Lytechinus pictus: one gene and its partner. The protein of the gene in region 2 binds, or shares a complex with, the protein of the main gene of each other region. Links are inferred from orthologs where the notes say so. Each region holds a gene or a part of one and is shown on either strand. Other genes may lie near its edges.

Region 1 (10,784 bases), on a different chromosome or scaffold from region 2:
GTGACACTCCACAACATGCGTCAAAGACAGGGACGAGACAGTTCGCAGCTTCGTTGCCCGTCTGCGGGGACAAGCAGATATTTGCAAATTCATCATAGCTTGCCCTGCCTGTAATGCTGATGTCAATAAGTCAATTACACTGACGCAATCATGCGGGATGTGCTTATCAGAGGGATTGCCGATTCTGAAATCCAGCTTGATCTTTTAAGGGACAAAAACCAAGACATGGGCCTGGAAGAGGTTTTCCAGTTCGTTGAAACAAAAGAGGCTGGTAAACGCTCTGCCTCCTCTCTCCTCGACTCACACTCGGAAACGGCCAGCAGCTCCTCCTGTAGGAAAGCTAAGCAGGCGAACCCAGGGCCCAAGTACAAACAGGAACTGTGTGCCTACTGTGGCAAGAAAGGGCATGGACGGAGTGCCCCAGCTTGTGTCCGCAAGACGCAGTCACCAGTGCCTGGCCTATGGACAGAAATGTGGTCACTACGACAAGTTCCACCACGTGGAGGACGTCTGCTGCACCAAGGGCAAGCCGAAAACGTCACAGTCGACCTCCTCGGGTGAGCAGGAGGGGGCCATCTTCGATACCCTTTGTACTATCCGTGACCTAGGACAACCACATGGCCTCCCAATTGATCACCACGTATATATATGATGACTTTTCCCAAGCATGGCACAAGAAGAGATCAACTCCTCAGCCATACTTCAACGTGACTGTAAGGGCTGTTCCGGAGGACTATCGAGCCCTCAGGTTTAACCTTTCATCCCCCTCACAAACCAGCGCCATCCCAGCCATGGCGGACACTGCGTGCCAGAGCTGCCTCGCCGGGTTAAAGGTCCTCCGCCGCCATGGGTTACGTCAGCAAGACCTTATTCATCTCACCATGGCGATGCACACCGCAACTGACGGCGGCATTACGATCCTCGGAGCCGTCCCCCTACGCCTCTCTGGCCAAGATCCTCTTGGCCACATGGTCAAGTCACGGCAACTCACTTACATCACAGACAGTTCTGATAAGCTCTTCCTCAGCAAAGAGGCCTGCATTGACTTGGGGATCATCTCAAACAGCTTCCCTACTCTTGGCATGACACAAGGGGCACACCAACCAGACAGAGCAGCCACCCTCAAGGGGCTCCCGAGCGGACCGCCTGTCCCTGCCCTCGGCGTCAACTGCCCCCATCGCCTCCTACAAAACTGCCATTTCCTGCGACTGACGCAAACCATGAGAAGCTACAACAGTATCTCCTAGATTACTACCAGTCCAGCACATTCAACACCTGTGAGCATCAGCCCTTGCCACTCATGGATAGCCCCCCCGATGAAATTGATGGTGGACCCAGATGCGGAACCCGTCGCTCATCACACACCTGTGCGGGTCCCACTCCATTGGCATGATGCCGTCAAGGCTGGTTTGGATCATGACGTGCAGTTGGGCGTGCTGGAACCTGTACCCATTGGGGAGCTTGTTACATGATGCCACAGGATGGTGGTCCGTGCTAAAAAGGACGGTAAACCGCGTCGAACAGTCGACTTTCAAGCCCTCAACATCCATGCTACACGTGAAACGCACCATACACCATCACCCTTCATTCAGGCCTGTTCTGTCCCCCACGGGAAAAAGAAGACGGTATTAGATGCATGGAATGGTTACCACAGCGTCCCCATATGCCCAGAGGACCGACACCTCACCATTTTCATTACCCCATGGGGCAGGTACAGTTACAAGACAGCCCCTCAGGGCTACATTACCTCAGGAGATGGATACACCAGGCGGTATGATGAAATCGTCTCGGATATCCAAAATAAGACGAAATGCGTCGACGGACGACGTCCTCCTGTGGGCTGACACGATGGAAGACAGTTTCTTCCAGGCTGTTGAATGGCTGTCCAGACATCTGCGGCCAAAAAAGGGATTACCCTCAATCCTAGGAAGTTCACGTTCTGTGCGGATATCGTCGAATTCGCTGGCTTTGAGATCACCCCTGACAGCGTTCGCACATGTGAGAAGTACTTACAAGCTATCCTTGACTAAAAAAATATTCCTCTGATTCTTGGAATATTTTCCCAAACTCTTAGAATACCGGTATTTCTGGTATTTTCTGAGCCATCCAATATGATATAGATATTTATAATGATAATAATAATCCGTTTTTTATATAGCGCTTAATACATCGGAACGACGTGTCTAAGCGCTTTACAGATATATTATTACCCCGGTCATCAGATTCAATCAGTCATTTATGCTATTTGGCCTGCGACCGATCGCATGCAATGTTTTGAAATCGGCCGTGAATAATACGTGTGAGGAATTATATACTGGCCCAAAATCACCAATTTTGAGGATAACCGGAGGATGGACACGGAGTGAAATGAGGGTGTAGAGTAAGAAATTAAGCTATTTTTTTTCTATAATTTTTACAATAAACCACTTTTTGATCCCACCTTTGTCACTCGGAATATCCGATCGAGTTCACGGTCCCAAAGTTCGGGTAGGTGGAGCGTAGTGTAGCAGTAGTGAAGTGGAGCCTGCACAAACTTTGCCCGAGGTAGGGGGGAGATAGAGGATTATGTATTATGCACACTGCATCATTGGTGTAATCGTTTGTTCTTTTATGTGCACAGGGATCATGTTCATTGTTAGCTGCCATAGCACCTGAAGCTTCATAGCCCAGAGCAACAAATAGACAAGGGGCCTGTTGCATGAAAGGGTCTTTCGTAGAACCGTTCTACGTAAGAACGAGTTATCGCTCAACTGTTTCACAAAGCCGATTTGGGCGATACCAAGAATGGTCCTTGGAAAGACACCTCCAGAGACCAGACATGTCCTACGTAGACATGATCTTCTTTGCACACCGCCCGCCACCGTCGGCATTGAGAGAAAATGCGTTTACGGCAAGCCACACTGACATATCACATTTTTTGGGGTGTCATTCGATTGCAATCTGATGCATTTTATCTGGGATGGCGCCAACTTATTTTTTTATATGGGGGCTAGTTGTCATCAATTTCAGGTTGTCTTTTTGCATGGCAAGACGACCAAAAACGGATGTCATTTTAACTTATCCAGGGTATGTCCGGGGGTAATGTAGGCCCAAATATTTTTTTTAACATGTTTTCTTTTATTATTCGTCTTATCCCCACCCCTTTTCCATTAAAAAAAAACTTGAAATATCGAAATGGGCTGCACTATCTCTCTGACCCCTCATGCTTTCTCATTTAGTCCATTATATAAACAACCAGGGGTGTGAGTGGTCACAAATAAAAAGATCTGAAAAAAGCTGAAGAGTGTTGAAAAAGTCTGAAATAGAAAGAGCTCCCATACTTTTTGTACAGAGGAAGGCCAAAAATAAGCTGAAATTAAGCTGAAAATCAAAACAAAAAAAATCTGAAATGAGATAAAAATCTGAACTCTCACACCCCTGTAAACAACATAAAAACAATTTAAAAAAATAAAATTATGTATGCTAAAAAACGTGTTTATAACGGTTCAGCAATAAAAAACACAATACAAAACTAAGATGTTAAACATGCTAAATCATTTATTTATTTTTATTTAATTTTCATTATAATTATTATTTTTTTGGCTGAGATTAATTTTAATCAATGAAAATTAATTGTTGGATTTGGGCTAGCATGAGATGTGAAACAGGAAACAAAACAAAAATTCTGCAGTAACAAAATAGCTAATTGAATTTAAGATACAGATTAGGCTCATATAGCTTAAGAATCCATCACAATCATTACAAATGAAGATGAATTCATTGTACCTATAAAAGAAAAGATTATGGAAAGTCCATACCTAGAGGCGCATATTAAATAGTAGGGTAAGCCCTATCGGCCCCTATGTCATAATGTAGTCTCTACTCCTTAACTTTGAAATGTTGAACATATATATTTTTCATATTCTTAAACCTTATATTCTTATATAAACTTCCATAAAGTGATCAACTTTAATATGACCAACGTTTATGATCGTTGTAATTTTTAGCATTATTTCTGTAAATAGCATTTTTTCCATTGCGGATTGATTCACACATTTTTCTATGTTTTAATTATTATTGCAAAGCACTACTTTATCCACTTGGACATGTTTGCAGCAATTTTCATATTTTCCTTGTCTTCGGTTACTCATCATGCAACTGATGAGGTATGTGTACTCTAAACACTCACATTTGTATTTCTTGCGTTATATCTGACAAATAAAATAAATAAATTAGATTTTTCACACGCAGCCTCTCACATTTCTTTTTTAGTCTCATACAATCAGACATGTTGATTTTGTTTAATCCATTCAAACCCTATTTTTATCTCAACAAATAACATTTAACGCATGATTTGCAAAATTATCATTATAACTAAGTATTCAATAAAAATTCAGAATGTTGAACTAATACAATGTCGAAATTACTTAGTTAAATCAATTTTTATGTTGGACAAGGGTCTATTTCGTTGCAATATCAATGAAAGGTGTCTCTAAAAGGACATCATGTTCTAAATAAGGGAAATAATGAAAATTTCGATTTTATCCAGTTTTGTTTGTGAATCTTTAAAGTTTTTGTATCTTTTTACCTCATAAAGTAAGCTCCATAGTATACATCAATTCTACAATCAGTAATAAATAAAACATTATTTGATCTCCTTTTATTGAAATTTATGATTTTATGAAAAGTTGTCATTCCGAAATGAAACTAAAAGGTTCAGGTGACGATGAAGACTAAATATTTTTTCCGATACTATCGATATCAAACGATGTCGCGGACTTGGAAGACTAAATTGCCTTCGTGAAACGGAAACCGCTGATTTGTCGCCAATCTTCCTATCTCGGAAGAATGGTCCTAGGACGTTCCTACGTATCGCTCATGTCGTACTCGTCATGCAACAGGCCCAAGGTTCTTATTAATGCATATGGTTGGAACTACCCCTTAACTCCCACCTAATCTTCTAAGCATCTGCGAAAATATTCATCAATTTTACCCAGTTTTCGTCTCATTTGTGCAGAAAATTGAGCAGATCAGATTCCCATATTTCGCTCGGCGACTCCGATTCAATCCTCGTATATATCGACAAAAAACGAATACGACGATTTTACATTTGCTCATTTGCACCCGTCTTTTGAAACCGACCACCCGCGATACACTAAGTTTACGGCCGATTCTTGTCGCGGTGGCGAAATATTTTTACTCTTCCAAATCATTTCTATGATCATGATGTCAACATGCTAAATGATCGTCTCACTACTTCCAGTGCGAGCTCCGGCACATGATTTGATGATTGACGACGGGTATTTGTTCTAAAGCCGTTTCCTATCGGATTTCTTGGTTTTTCAGCGGGGTTTGGGTTTGGTCAATACAATTTTGATTAATTCTACTAAATTTTTACTTTTTGTTGCTTCTTTTTTTCTCGTAAAATCGATTCATACCGTTTCTATGGACACTGCGCCTACCCTCCCGCGCGTATCGTTTGTAATACGCAATAATTTTAACGCGCGCAAGGTGGTCGGTTTCAAAAGAGGTGGTCGCGATATGTGGTATTGGTAGTCTCACCATACTGTGTACAGCAATATATTTGACCCCCCCCCCCCCCCCCGCCCCCGGGAAAGATGAAAGTTACAAGAAAATTTAAGCCTTATAAGGAAAGATACAAGAAATTCTCAGAATACAGATTTTTTGGCCTTATCCTGAAATAAGTCACCTCTCTACTCGTGTACGTGTGTGTGCTCGCAGCACAGAAGGGTGATATATTCAACTTTCTAACATTCAAGAGACCATTTTGTATCACCAATGCGTGTGATTTTTGATGCACGAAAAGAAGCGAGAAATAACACATTTCTGTGATAATTGTATCCAAAGCACACATTAGCTAAATCGCGGGCCGCCTGCTTGAAGCGCAGCCGTTCATATTCGCACTTCGATCTTCTCAGGATCAGGAGGAGGAGTGAGACTTTGGGTAGCCAAGTTGCTCATTTCAGAATTTACGGTAAATACGAACTTTTCATTCCACCTTAGCCTTAACCTTAGCATTAACTGTCTTACCTTAAAAATCTGGTTTATCCTACAATCAGCCGAGCTCGAGGGACATGCAGTTTGAAACTCTGTCCTAACATCATCCTTTCTTGCGCTATGCTGCTGCGCTGCATGACCGGCCGAACGCACGGGCACGCCCCCTGCCGCCCGGCCCGGCTGGCTTGGTGACGTGAACACTACCACCGGGCCAGGCTCCAGAGCTAGGCGCTAGCCGGCCAGCCAGCCATGGCATGGGCGCGGGCAGGGCATGCATCGTGATCTATGTCCTATGAGTATGACATAGAAAATTGCATGGGCACACATTGAATAGGAAGGGTTTCCTGGCTGGAATAGATGTGGATTCTTCTCATTACGTGAGAACAAACCGACATGCTATGCCATGCCCATGGCCATGCCATGGCCACATAAGCTGAATTGTCAATTCGAAATCCGTCTCTTTACTTTAGACTTTATCGAGTGGAGCCTACAGAGTCAGAGTTTACTTCAGTGCCCAGGGACAGGGTTCAGCGGCAATAAGTACAGAGACTGAAGTCACTGAAGCCCAAATCATCCGAGACTGTCGACTGGGTATTTTATATAAATTTAGATATCTACCAAATTGATGGCAAGATCAAATGTATAGTAAGACTAAGACTAAGAGTTCAAAATTGATTGAGGAAAATGTGAAATACTAGGTCAAGGCGTTTCGCTGTCTATCGCAGTCTCAATATGCAAGTCGAAGAGTGTGAGCAGTATACCCAGTTGTTGTGTGTCCGGACGATCAATTTTAGAAAGTCATTTGGAAAAAATTACAAGCGAAGTTTCATCAATTTTTAGTACAAAACGTTAGGAAATATTATAAAGAACAAAACAGAATATGATTACAAGTATTGAATTCATATTTTTAGTGTAATCCACAGACAAAAAAGAAGGCTTCAAAAAGATAAAGTGTCCGGACACCCGACCCCCCAGCCTACTGGAAATGGTTGTTAAAAAAGCATGACATTAATTTTGTATGCTTTGGAGGTCTATAGAAACAAAAGACAAGCACAGGACAACAAATTTTGGTTAGTAACACATTTTACTCATAGTACTTTTTATAGACTATATAGGCCTTGATAGATCTGGCTCTCGGGCCTAGTAGCCTAGATCTATCTGCTCTGAAAAAAAAAAAGAATTATCGGAAAGGTGACAAATTTCAAATTTACTCGTATTATGTCAATATTTTTGTAGGAATTAAAACTAAACACCTACTTGAGAATAAAAAAATCAGTTTTAAAACAGCATAACTCAGGAACTTAACAATAACAGCAAACAACATATCAGGAACAGAAGACAGAGAATAACTAAACAAAGAGACTGGATCTGTAGTGTTGTATCTGTGTCTGTTCATGTATTAAAATACTCTATTTATACCTTTGGCCTTCCTCGGCCCACATCAAAATTGTTGCTACAGTAACAACATTGTTTAAATCATTATAAAAAACTAACCAATGAAATTAAAGAAAATAGAAGAACCCAACTGAAATGTAGTAATCCAATTCATTGTATAAACCAATGTACAATAAGATGAAGGTGATAAAAGATGTCTTGGTGATTATGTAATAATGGCATTAGAAACTAAGGAGTCAGGTGGGGGATTGAATGAGTGGAACACCTGAATAGAGAAGGACAAAAGAGAATCGGAGGAAAAGAATCCAATGTGGAGATCGGAGGATGAATGAAAACTGAATATAATTAATATACAAATAATGAATGTTTATGAGTGCAATGGACAGAATACTTCATGAGGTGAAAGATGAAATGATCGCTGAGTTGAATGGATCATTCATTTCATCTTTAACCGAATGAAGTATTCTTTCCATTGCACGATTGAAAAAAAAAATCATTATTTGGTTTATATGAAACCTAAAAATTTACCTTTTTTCATATGAAATTTATGAATTTCGATGCAAGAGTTCGGTCTGCTGATTGTTACATCATTACAACATGTGCACTGGAAACACAAGTAGTACGTCCCTGCAGCCTGCAGTCTCTGTGCGCGCGTGTAATGGACAAAATCGTATGGATCCAAAATTGCATGGTTGATGACGTAATAGCAAAATGGGCTGAATGAATGATATCAAACAACCAATCAATTCACAAGGATCTATCTAGGTGTCATATAAACTCAAATAACCTAAGTTCAGACTGCAAGGGCAGTGCTGAAAAGAAATGCAAAAGAACACAAGTCTAGACAGAACAGAAATGAAGAAAACACAAGTTAAAGAAAATGAACAAAATAGGAAAATTACAAAATAACCATCCTACATTTTCATGAATAGGCCTACTTATTTCATCTAAAAGAATTGACGTTTCAAGGTATAACTTTAGGTTAGGGAGTCTATTTTTGTGTTAGTGTATGGTAGTGTCAGATTCACAAGCCTTAAATGTTTTTTTAGAAGTAGATACTTAGTAAATGAACATAGACGAGATATCACATATTACGTTTGGACACACTGTCATACTAACCTAAAATAGATGTGTCTGCGATAATGTAATAATTCCTTTCTTCTTTATTTTTTTCATTTACAGACTCAAAAGTATGGCAGCTTTACCTGCAGGTAAACTGAAATGCATCTTCTTCAGTGAATTTCACCCACAAGCTGGACCTAAAATCACGTATCAGGTAGATCTACTAAAAATTTTGATAAGATGTTCAAACTTTCAAGAAATTAGTAGAACTGGGCTATTTTTTTTAACTGTATGCTACTGCATTGTACACTCACCAAATGACAAACACAGTCAGGGAGTCCAGGGAGAAACATGACACTTTTCATCTTTCAGATATATAACCTTGTAGGCCTAACTCTTAATATTTGGACTGAACAAAATATCTTTGTTTGTTAACAGACTATAGATATACCATAGAGCTATTACAGAGCTCTATGGATATACTAAGGTAAATATTGCAGTAAATGTTGATTTCCCAAGATTTGACTCTCATAGATTTGGCAAACTTCTAAGTTTTGGGGCAAAAAGTGAGACCCTGGGGAGAAATGCGACACCCACACTGCATACTATCACAGAATATTATTCTTATATTATTGATTGCATATTAGTTAAGTCCCATTTCATATACAAAACATCTGAGATTGATGGCTGCATGTAGTTTTAATTAAGCTTTTCATCATGAAAAATAATATCAACTATAGTCATTTATTCACCAATTGGTTAGCCACTGTAAGAAAAAAAAACTCTAAATAGATGTTTAAAAAAAGTAAATCGGGGATTGTTTATCTGGCTTCCATGCAACATTTTACAGCAGTTGTTAGCATATTTTTGAAAGGGTGTTGGATGAAGCCTATTGAATGATTTAGGCCTATATGACATTCATATTTTCTTCTTATCTTCCTTTATCCTTCCATCTCTGTCTTCCCCTCCTCCTTCTTCAGATGTTTCCTAAATACATTCAGGTTGTGGTCAGTACAGAACTTTACAGAACTTGATGGATTATTTTTATAAACTAATGCATTTGGGTTTAGTGGAGAGGGAGAGTTATTTTCTGTTGTTTTGTTTCTAATCCATATATGTATGTAAAAAAAAAAAAAAAAAAAAAAAAAACCAGACAGGCCAAATAAGAGAGGTCTATAGACAGATTTATTCCATCTAGGCAAATTCCAACCTTGATGATAATGATGATGATTTTGTTGGTGGTTGTGGTTTAATATGATGATGATGATATTGAAGAATGATGATCGGTTTTACCTGATGATGAAGTTTCACAGAGTCTAAATTGCATTTTGCTGTGAAATACGTACATTGCCTTTCACCTGCAGGTTCCAGATGATTACTTTTCTAGGGAGCTTTTTGATATAGTCTCTGTCTACATCATCCCAAAGCCTGAATTACAAGACAAGCTCATCACCGTGTAAGTTTGCAGAGCTCTTGCAAATATTCAAAACAAAATTTAATTACCTGTATGAGTTGTGTTCTTATTTGTTGGAATGTCAAATGATATATGTGATATATTTCCCCAATTATGATAGATTTCACATGAGAAATTTATATTGTCACTTTTATTCCCAATTTATTTTATGCCATGATGACGATCCTTTCATGTCTTCGTGGTGTTGGGCTGCTCTTTTTTTTTCAGATCAAATCCCCAAATCTTTTTTATCTCTCCTATTCTCTCATGCTAAACAAATATAGCTGATCTTATAACAGCGAATTGTATAATTGAGTGTAACTTTAAATTCATGGGAAATAGCCAATAGGTATATAAGCTTATTTCACATTTGCAAAAAAATTCAAAACCAGGTACATATGATTTCAACAGTAAAATAGGTATAAAATAACATTGGCCCGAATTCACAAAGGTGGTTTTGAAAACCCATAGTTGAATCCATGGTTTATGCAGATTTCCTGTATTAATTACGCCTAATTTAGCGCGTATCGGGCGCGTGTATAAAAAATGTCCAATGCTGATGCGCGTTTTTGTCATAGTACGCCAAATTGACGCCTGTTACCATGGTAAGATACGCTATTTTATTCATGAATCCACTGTTTTAAGAGTGGACTCATTATTCAAAACAGTGGACTTATGAATAAAAGAGCAAGGATAACCACGGCAACAGGCGTCAATTTGGCGCACTATGACAAAAGCGCGCATCAGCATTGGACATTTTTGATACACGCGCCCGATACGCACTGAATTAAACGTAATTAATACAGGAAATCTGCATAAACCATGGACTCAACCGTGGGTTTTCAAAACCACCTTTGTGAATTCGGGCAATAATTCT
Region 2 (11,173 bases):
AATAGAGATAAATCAAACAGGCATAACGCTAAAAACTTCATCACATCGGATGTAAAATAAGGAAGTTATGACATTTTAAAGTTTTGCTTATTTTTCGCAAAACGCTTATATGCACAACTCATTGACAGAGTCCATGATGTACCTCACTCACGAATTCTTTTGTTTTATGGTTTGAATTATACAATTTTTACAGATTTGACAATGATGACCAACTTGACTGAGCCACAAAATGTCAAAACTGACCTCTCAGCGTATAATAATAGCCAATATTTATATGGCGCTTTTCCCAGAATGGCTTAAAGCGCTTTACAGCATATTATTACCCCGGTCATTGGATTCATTTCAATCCCGCACGAAAAGTGCACAATTTTCACTCCCCGGGGAGCATTCCTTGCATTCATCGCAGCCTCATTATGGGCGCTGGCAAATTCAAACATACAATATCTTTCGCATCCTACCGGGTACCCATTTAGCACCTGGGTCGAGAGTGGCAAAAGTGTGGATTAACGCCTTGCCAAAGGATGCTAGATCGCGGTGGGATTCAAACACACGACCCTTGTTTGCAAGGCGAGAGTCAGAACTACTACACCACGGCTCTTCCACTGGTTGAGGATAACTGGTTGAGGTATCTTTTTTAATAATAAAAACCTCCACGACATGTCTGTTTGCGTTGGAAATAGATACCTAAGATGGAAGTGATCTAAAAATATCAGATCAATGAAGCCTTACTTTTATTCTTTGCACTTCATCTTTGTTGTTTGTAAAGAGATCCGACTTGGAGAACTGAAGGCGAGCAAATCCCGTCTCGGAGACCTGCCGACCTGACGGCTTAGACGATCCTGTCAAAAGAATAGAAGTATCAGGTGATTTGAGCATCATTTATTTACTGCAATTAGTACATGTATAATGTGTATCATCAGGGCCCCATCATACAAAGAGTTGCGATTGATCCGCTCAACCACAACTATGGACGTCCAACAACGTCAAGATCTAACATGCAAATTTGTTCAAAATATTTTCTTGATATGATGTATATTCATACATTCATCATTCTCTTGAAGATTCAGTGTGATTCTCTTTGTTTCCTAAGGAGAGTGTGCAAATTTCCTGCAGAAAAAATTATGGTATGGATGGATTTCCATAGAGTTACGATTGATTGGATCAATCGTAACTCTTTGTAAGACGGGGCCCAGTTGTAACTAAAGTGGATACATGTATTCAATACATTTTGGAGGCGATATCATTTCTAAATGTGCAATCTGAAAAAAGATGTCAATTTCTTTACAATACAATGATTATATTACAATTACTATTACTATGAAATAATCAAACTTCTCGTAGGTTCGACCCCCATATTTCTCTATTTTTACTTTATCTTGTGAATTGCCCAAGACATGATAATGCGAGGGCTTTCTCATATGAACTTTTCACACTGTAGAAAGGTTAATTGTACATTTGGTTTGCTTTTGTTTGACATCTGTTCAGTTCATTTAGTTCAGTCTGGTATGTGTTTCAGTCAGCTACCTATAGATACTTGTGTTCTTATACCACGGTCACATTTGCTCTACGGCCGCCGTACGGCGAGTCAAAAACAGTCGTTTCAACATTTTTTGTACCTGCTACATGATATAGACATGATAGATGGTTTGAATAACAATTAATAAAACGGCTGCTTTCGACTCGCCGTACGGCCGCCGTAGAGCTTATGTGACCGAGGTATTATTCATCACATCAGCCACTATCCTACTCCTCTAGTCATCTTCATTCCTTTCCTATTCAGATGTACTCATTCATTCCATCCTCATATCTGGTACTTTTGTTGAACATTCTTCATTACATAATCACCCTTGTCATTTACCCATCATCACGTCAGTCCTTTTTCACTGTTTATTTTTATGAATTGGGCAACTACATTTTCTTTGGGTTCTCCTATTTTCTTGAATTTCATTGGTTAGCTTTAGGTTAATGTAAATAATGTAATGTTACTGTGGATACTACTTCATGTAGGGCCAGGAAGATATAAGAAGAAAGATATTTTTGTTAATAAAGATGCAGATACAGAGATAGATACACCCAGTCACTCTCATCGATTATTTTGTTCACCGTCTTCGGCTCCGTATGTTCCTGTTATATTTGCTGTTATGTTCCTGTTGAATTTAAACGGATATCATTTCTTCCCATCGACAAATCAAACCTCCCAATACAAGTAGATGTTTATTTCACAAACCCTACAATATGAACTAGAATAAAGAGACAAATCATTTCAGGAAAGTCAGAGATCTACTGCCTTATAATGGTAATTGTCTTACCATAGTTGGCGAGTGGCTCTACGGCAAACTGATTGAACTCGACTTGGTTGGTTCCAACAGAAAGAGAAAAGAATGTCTCGGGATGCACTGGGGACCACTGAACATCCTGTGTCCACTTGCTCGTCATCTTGGTATCCAAATTCTAAGGTAGAGGATTGCAACTCGGCATTACTGTCAAAGTATAATAGAGAATGATACGAGAAGGATTGTAAATGTAATTATGAGATGTTGGGGGCAATTGACTGTCTCCTTGACTTAGATGTTTTGGGATGTACAATTTACAAAAATATAGCTACCGGTACTTTTATTGACAGGTAGGTTTATCAAGGAAGTCATACACTGTATTCAGCGCTGACTGATTCATTTCATCAGAATCATCACTGACGAACTAAATCCGACTCATGAACTGTCTTATCTATTCTTCAAAATTGGAACCAGCGTGTACATCGCTAGATGGAAAATTCTCCATAAAATTGTGCATACTAGTTCACATTTCAACGAGTAGAATTAAAGACAGTTTACAAGTGAGATGTATTTCATCAGAACCATCAATGATAGACTAAATTTCACTAGTAAATTGTCTTGCTGGCCATAAGTGGCAACAGACGGAATAAAAAAAAAAAAAATAAATAAAATTGTATTAAAAAAGAAGAAAGAAAACAGAAAGGGGATAACATTTGATCTCTCTGGCATGTCTGGCTTGAGACATTGCAGGACAGGTGCCTTTTCAACTGCTCTTCCTTATTTCAACATCTCAATCAAAATTTAGGTCTATGAATGATTGAAGTTTTAAAATAATGAAAATCTAGTAATCATCACAACCTCAGACTCGGTGTCATGTTAAAACATTATAATTTTCATAAGAATAATAAAAAATTCAAACCACCATTTTGAGGGGAATAATACACTGAGCCTACTATGGGGCTCATACTGACTGCTAGATGGCTAGCCATCTGTGTAGGATGAGAAATCAAACAAGTGAAATAAAAAATGTTCAAATACTCCTCCATCAAATCAAACGGAACAGTTGGTAATTTTGGGAACTGAAATATTCACAATTTCACGATTCTATTTTAGAGTTCTAGTCAGGCAGATTATATATTGACTGGGTATAATAAAAAAATTCACCAATTTGATCCCAAAGCTAGACTTAACTCTGTATGACTTGGCGTAGACAGCTGGCAGCCATCTGTTTCGAGTTTTTTAACATTTTAATTTTTTTTAATTTCTCCTCGTACACAGACGGCTCGCTATCGTGCAGCCACCATTAGGGGGTTTACAATGCAAAATCCCCCCGACGGGTCTTATCTATTTTTATTTCATACAAATACATAAAAAGAACTGTACCAAAATTAAGATTATTATTCCGTTTTAGCCTGAAATGCACCAAAACGGGGAAAAATAAACTTAAAAGGGGGAAAAACAGTGACTTACTTCGGCTGTCGCGCAACTTCACTTCCCGTTTTAAACTTTTATCCGAACTTAACGGCCATTGAGTCCCTGTACATGTCGCACTAGAACTTCGGTGTCTGTATTTGGTGAGTGGAGCCAATGGAGTTCAGCGGAACAACCAACATAACATAGACCGAAGCTTTTGGTCTAGACTTCGCGCAGCGCTCTCGCAATTGCATTGAATTTGTGTGATTCTGGCCCGACATCATTTACAGGGTGTGGGACTGTATATTTTGCGAATTCTTAATCACTCAAATCAGTTTCATATTTTGAGCTACAAAATGTCATAAACAATAAATAGTTTGGTACATTTGACAAATTAAAATGAAGGAATCTGGGATGCATCTAAATCTGAAAGACAATGAAACAAATAATTATTTTTTTCTTACCTCTATCCTGTAAGAAACTGGATCGCCCTTTGCAAAGTGATTTCGGTTTGTGTGATCATTGATTGCGATGGCTCCCGCTGCTAAAGGTGGCGACTAATAAGCTCATGAATACGACGTTGTACCATAGAGATGTATACTAATTACGTTATTAGTATACATCTCTATGCGTTGTACCGATCATATCCGTATGCATAATGCATGCGACCAAGCGACTAATAAAGGCAATCTCTTGATCCTCGGAGGGGTGGGCAACAGGGTACTGACCGCGGAACTGTGGGGGGGGGGGGGGGGGGAGGGGGGCTTCAGCCCCCACTCTTTTTAGTGACCATGAAAAAAAACCCGCGAAAATGACCATCTAATTGTGAAAAAAAAAAAGAAGAGTATCAATAGAGATCTCTGGTTCGATTTTAACTCTGTATTACCCTTAATCAGGGTGCTAAATAACTTTTTAGAAGCACTTGCCCAGTCGGGCAAGTACATTTTTGAATGGTTCAAATATACTTGCAAAAAATTTATTTCACTTGCCCGAAAAAAATCATTGAAAAAAAAAAGTTTCACCCCTTCAAAAGAAAGTATTGCGGCTTTATGAACCATTGACCTTTTTCTCTCTTTTGACCTGATCTAGTACCTTGTTATTGACATCGACCGTAATTTTGGCCATTCTACTGTGAGAATTCTACTTGCCCAATTTTGGCAAGTAGTTTTGGTCTTTACTTCAAAACACTTGCCCGACTCTAACTTTTACTTGCCACGGGCAAGTGCTTACGTAGCACCCTGCCTTATTTCAATTGGGAAAAGGAATTCGTCACCACATTTTAACAGTGGCGTAACAGGCGGGGGGGCATGGGGGGCAAGTTGCCCCCCCTGGCGGATTTCACCGGGAAAAGAAAAGAAAAACGGGAAAAAGAAAAAAGGAGGGAGAAAGAAAGGGGAAGGGAAAGGAAAGGGGAAAAGGAAAGGGAAAAGAAAACGAAGAAATCCCATTTTTTTAATGGAAAAGGAAGGAAAGCGGGAAAATGTAGGAAAGAAGAACATTAAGGCCTATGTAATGCAATAACACGGTGGGAAATAAATTAAAAGATAAAAAATGGCAAACAATAGCGGGAAACGAAGGTAGAATGTAATTCGCCAAAAGCTAAATTGGAAAACAAAGGAAAGGGACAAGAAAAATAAATAATAATACGACCGGGCTGCCGATGATTGAAATTAAAGAACGGGAAGAAAGACGGGCTGCATACAACATTGTGCTATCACGTTGCTAAATTTTATGCAAATGAGCTACCGGTGCTTTGCCCCAGACCCCATGCAGTAGGGGTTCTTCATTTAAAACCTTCAAATGGCTCTATAACGCCCCCCGTTCAATCACTGGCATACAGGCGCGGAGGGGGGGGGGGGGGTCTTGGTTCCACACCCAAGAGGAAATAAAAGAAATTAAAGGAGACAACATATAATGAAATGAACGGAACCAATGAAATGTGTTATTTGCTGAATATAATGAAAAAATCTATCACATAATTAGAATTTAATTTCAATAGGCAATATTTTTCCAGCTCGCTTTGCACACTGGCGACTTTTTACAAACTTTTCCAAAATTGCTATGTTTTGCCCCCCCCAAATATTTGGTGATTACGCAACTGGGTTAAATAAATGTGTTGTGTAAGAGCTATATTCTGTATATGCCCGCGATTTTGATTAAAATAGCGGCAATCTTTGAAGTTTTACATGTTTTATGATGGCTTTGATATCAAGAAGTTCCGGGGGCTCCGCCCCGGACCCCAACCGCACAGCACTGCGTATGGAAGGGTTGGGCCATGGCCCCAAAAAGTTCTACAGACAAGAAAAAAAAGGAGGAAAGAAAAGCAAAGGAAAAGTGTAGGATATGATTTTATTTACTGAATATAATGTCAAAAAATAGCTCAAAGTTAGATTCTCATGAAAAGGTGATTTTTTTCTCGCTCGCTTCGCTCGCTCTGGACTTATATAGAGCAGCTTTTTAGAACATGTGCTATACTGCGCCCCTCGTTTTTTTTTTTTTTTTACTCTTCACGCTACTGCCGCAAAGAATCCTGTTCACAGTGGCGTACAGACCACAAAAAAAGGAATCTAAAGAGAGAAGAGTGAAATATATTATTTTTTGGATATCATGTCAAAAATCTAGCACAACATTTTAATTTTTCAATTAAAAAGGTCAAAATTTTTGCTCGCTCGCTTCGCTCGCTTGAAACTTTTTTTAAAGATAAATTCAGCCCGATACGCAATATCTGGCCTTCTCAATGTGTCGCCTCATTACACCATTACGCCTGTTCATACCATGATATGACCGGGAAATTTTTGGCTCTTGCCCCCCCTGGCCACCGACCCCTGTTACGCCGCTGCACATTTAGGTCCCTAGCTAGTCCCACCTCTGGCCTGCAAGATACCGTGATAAATCATAGGGGCATCATTTTTTAAATATCATTTTGTGTCTTGGGGATCCTGCGAATTGACAGTATAAATGAAAGTGGCACATGCCTATTCTCCATTGCTTCATCCTACGATGAGGAATAAAAAAATAGGATTGATGTATTAAAAGATAGGATTGATTTGAATCATATTCGTGTGTTCATTAATTGGCAACGAAAGTTTGACGAAAGGTGTCCTGCCCGGTGTCCTGTTCAAAGCTAAATGAAATGTGTGCCATTCTCTTCACAAATCGGAGTTCGAGTTTATTTGAATGAATGGAATTATAAAAATCAAGAAGGGGCCATTCAATAATTAAAACAATGAAACATAAATCTCCTCATTCGAGCTTGACCACACATTTTACAAAACAACCCTAAATGAGTTATTTCTCAATTTTATTCGGTTTTATCCCCCCTGATGTACAATTTTACACAGGACATTTTAATAATGTCTATGCAAAACATAGGCTTATCGTAAAAAAAAACCCCACAAGGTCAACAATATCTGAAAATACATGATTTAACTATAAATAGTTTGCCACGATCTTTCTATATTTTTTTTGGTACTATAATAACAAAATATGAAATGATACATAAATGATTGCCACAACCAAGCTTGAAATTGAAAGTAGAAATGGAGAAACGAGATGCCGGGAGAGATAAATGATAGTAAAAAAGAATGTGTTTGCGTGTTATAGAGAGAGATAGAGAGAGTTTCAAGTTTCAAGTTTATTTTTATTGATTTCAAATCCAAACATAAAGGATTACAATAAAAATGAAATGCACAATTTTTTTTTACAAATTAGTATCGAACATCAAGTAATTTACAATGATAAATTAACATTTCTAACAATAAACAGAGTGACAAATTAAACGAAACCAAAACAAAAGGAGAAATATAACAAAACAAATCAAATGCAGGAAAAAAAAATCAACTATATGCTGTCAGAGAGAGTGAGAGAGAGAGAGAGGGGGGGGGGGAGAGGGCATTATAGAGAGAGGGGGGTGGTAGGGGCCGGGGAGAGGGCCGGGAGATAAACCTTTCCTGATAATATCCTAAGAATTTACAAATTGAAAAAATGAATTCCCAACCTATTCAAACCCCTCTAGCTCTCTCTGCACCTTATCCCCTCTTTTAAAATTATGGGGAAAATTGTAAGCACCAAGTGGAATACCTCAACATTAAACCACTCTCTCTATCTCTCTTCACATGCCTTACCGATTCATTTGTTACATTATTCCCTCATTTCTTTTCATTCCCTTTTCTTTCTTTTTTTCCTTCCTTTGTTTTCTTTCTTTGCCTTTTCTCTCTGTCTTTTTTCCTTTCTGTCTTCTTTCTTTCTTTCCTTCTTTCTTTCTTTCTTTCTTTCTTTCTTTCTTTCTTTCTTTCTTTCTTTCTTTCTTTCTTTCTTTCTTTCTTTCTTTCTTTCTTTCTTTCCTTCCTTCCTTCCTTCCTTCCTTCCTTCTTTCTTTCTTTCTTTCTTTCTTTCTTTCTTTCTTTCTTTCTTTCTTTCTTTCTTTCTTTCTTTCTTTCTTTCTTTCTTTCTTTCTTTCTATGATTCATTTTATTTTGTCATTCTTTCTTGTTCTTTTTCTTATTTTTTTCCTTCCTCCCTTCCTTCCTTCCTTCCTTCCACCCTTTCTACTTTTTAAAAAAACTGTTTGTTCGTTTCTTCCTTCTCGTCTTGTCCAGCTCCCCTCTTTTCATTTCTTTACTCACCGTGAATAAGCATAATTTCATACTCCTTTCACTAAAATCGGTTTAAAAAAGCTGATTTAATCAGGATAATAACAATTTATACAAACATACACTTTTATTTTAAGGCGAAACCTACTATCCACATAACGAGATCACACTCTCTCTATCTCGATAAATAATGCATACAATTTAATGTCTTAATTCATGCAAACAATTAATATTAATCATACATGCAACTATTTCAAAGCATTCAGCAATAATATGAAATAAGTAAAATCATGATATCACAAAAATATATTGGCAAAAAGATTGTTATAGTTGGGAAAATGAAATGACTTATCATGATTGTAATGATAGTATTAAGAGATCATGACATGTATGTTACAATCAAGCAATAACAGCTTTTACAAATAAAACATTTTACTTCAACTATTTCTTTAATGTCCAACATGCCCCATCAATAAGTTGATTTGATCATAGAAATAAAATTTTACAAGTATGAAATTGAACTATTAAAAAAATCGAATGTTGAAAATAATGCAAAATAAAAAACGAGACATTACTATCACACAGAATAATAACTTTTAAATTTAATTTTATAAAAAATGTATTTTTTTAATACTTTAATTGTGTCATTTATTCTTGAGTTGACCAAGTGGCCCAGTGGGCCTAGATTATACGGCTCCACTGCTTAGAATGTGGGATTATGGGTCAGGAACCCGGTCAAAGTTGAGCAGTTGAAGCTTGAGGTGGTGCTATATCATACAATGTAGTATAGTGGCGCTGTTTTGTCTCGGTTTTAAATTGTGCAGAATAACCAGTATTAATGTCATGGACTCGCTTGTTCGCATATCAGTGATGCGTTTATAACCTTCTTACTTTACATCAGATTTTAATGAAATTTTCAGTACACCCGTCTGACTTTTGTCTTTATTCATCATTTATTAATTCATGTTTTCTTTATAAAAAAAACAGGCTAGTCCCATTCAAGCCAGCTAGAGGCCTGCTTTACAAGGGAGCCCTGCTATCTTGTTTGACCTTTAAATAGCGAATCCACCTAGAAAAAACATGCAGTCTCGTGGAAAAAATCTTTATAATCCAAGTAGATTAGTCATCATGGGTCAGAAAAGGGTAATAGAAGAGGGTGGGGAAAAGGGCCCTTCTGACACCCGGGCCAGGCGGGTGTAATTGGGGTTATGACATATTTTCCTTAGAGCTTGTCGCAGAATTTTAGAAGAAAGAAATGACCCCTTGTCAATGTGCCCCGAGTGCCCGATCCTAGATCCGCTGTTCCCTAATCTACTTTCCTCAAAACTCGAGTGGTAAATCGAAAAATTTCCAGAAACATGAAGACGTCCATAAATAATGATTCGTCCCATGCATTTTTTTCTTCAAAAAAGCTTTTGTTATTCATCTTATTCCTTAAAAACAATTTTCGAGACAATTGACCCCTTACACTCTGTTTATATCTGCCTATCAACGTTTGGACCGGTTACACCAAGGCATCATCTATGAAGATCATCGAACATGACCGTACTCTGTGTGTCGTTGGGTCCTTGTAAGCTCGGTTTCAGAGGAGGATCGTTCCGCCTGACGTAGTCCCGTAAAAACGCTTGGACACCACGTACTCCTTGCTGCGAGAGAAGAGGAAAAACAATTCACATGAAATTAAAACGAGAGGTTTGATTTCTTGTGATTGAGAAAGACGCTATATAGGCGTAGCTGAAATAAAAACGGCGGACGAATGAGGAGAACTGTAAGAATTATTCTAGGTCCTCGCTTCACATCATATATGCGTGACTCTGCACTTGAAACACTTTACTTAAAGTTTTTAGCTGATTGAAGAAAGGATTTAATTATGTCTTTCCTTTGCACAGAAACTGGAAAAGAATGAAAGACTATCACACCTGATCCCTAAGCCGAAGGATGTCGGCAGAATCCTATATAAGAAACAGTAGGGTCAGGCAACTGAGATGTAGGACTCAAAGACTTCGACAAAGTACCATCCCTTACCTTGTTGACTTATTGTAACTTATATGTAACTGAAAATTCTCATAATTTTTGTTAAGATTTTGATTACTTTGCTTTTAGAATATCACTTTTCCAATATAAACTGAGCTTAGACTTTTCTCTCTTTTTCGTTTTAATCTTTTTCATGTTCATAAAAACGTTAACGCACGTTTGCTAATTGTTCTTATATATCAATAAATGTATGAGTCACACGAGGTTTTTTTTATATTCCAAGACTTCTGGAATTTAAATAGATTTGTTAGCCGTCCTACACAATTATAGCCTTATTTTTCAGTTACTATGACCTATAATTACTTACATTGTAATAAATTGTAAACCAGTGGTAATTTATGAACGAACATCTTCTTTTATTTTTTGATGAGTGTAATAAAAAGCATCAATGCTTCACTATGTGCAATACTAATTTTTTGATGATAATAATGTGAATAATAAAAATGATAGTCATATAATATTAAAGGTAATGATAAAAATAATAAGAATGAAATCTTAGATTAATTATGATAATGAATTAAATAATAAATGGTTATAGAATGATTGTATTACAATGATGATTGATTTCACAAAAACGAATGAATGTATTATTCATTCAGGCATATGATTATTATTATTTTTTATGTATTTTGGAATTGTGTTTCTAATTCCCGTTTTTCGTTATGTTGTCGTAAGTTTTATGTATTCGTAATTCCGAAGCTTCGTTATTCCGAAGGTTCGTATTTCCGAAGGTTCGGATATTCCGAAAGTTCGTTAGTCCGAAAACGAAATGAGGTTCGTAATTCCGAAGGTTCGTTAGTCCTAAAATGAAGTGAGGTTCGTAATTCCGAAGGTTCGTTAATCCGAAAACGAAATGAGGTT

The links. The genes of interacting proteins can lie anywhere in the genome.
Region 1: GATOR2 complex protein MIOS-like (region 2) and GATOR1 complex protein NPRL2-like share a complex: the UniProt entries of both Drosophila melanogaster proteins name them as parts of the GATOR complex. The link is inferred for Lytechinus pictus from reciprocal best matches to the Drosophila melanogaster genes mio and Nprl2.

Annotation. Positions count from the first base shown.
Region 1 is NC_087247.1:42,697,064-42,707,847, reverse strand, and holds the start of GATOR1 complex protein NPRL2-like, read left to right. Parts: upstream 1-5,882; 5' UTR 5,883-5,974; intron 5,975-6,196; exon of another isoform or gene 6,197-6,293; intron 6,294-6,467; exon of another isoform or gene 6,468-6,588; intron 6,589-6,908; exon of another isoform or gene 6,909-7,067; intron 7,068-8,574; 5' UTR 8,575-8,584; coding exon 8,585-8,668; intron 8,669-9,818; coding exon 9,819-9,910; intron 9,911-10,784. UniProt on the Drosophila melanogaster protein: An essential component of the GATOR subcomplex GATOR1 which functions as an inhibitor of the amino acid-sensing branch of the TORC1 signaling pathway.
Region 2 is NC_087257.1:8,780,911-8,792,083, reverse strand, and holds the start of GATOR2 complex protein MIOS-like, read right to left. Parts: upstream 4,238-11,173; 5' UTR 4,151-4,237; intron 2,481-4,150; 5' UTR 2,437-2,480; coding exon 2,310-2,436; intron 840-2,309; coding exon 730-839; intron 1-729. Other genes in the region: uncharacterized protein LOC129274479, read right to left, coding at 9,796-9,924. UniProt on the Drosophila melanogaster protein: An essential component of the GATOR subcomplex GATOR2 which functions as an activator of the amino acid-sensing branch of the mTORC1 signaling pathway.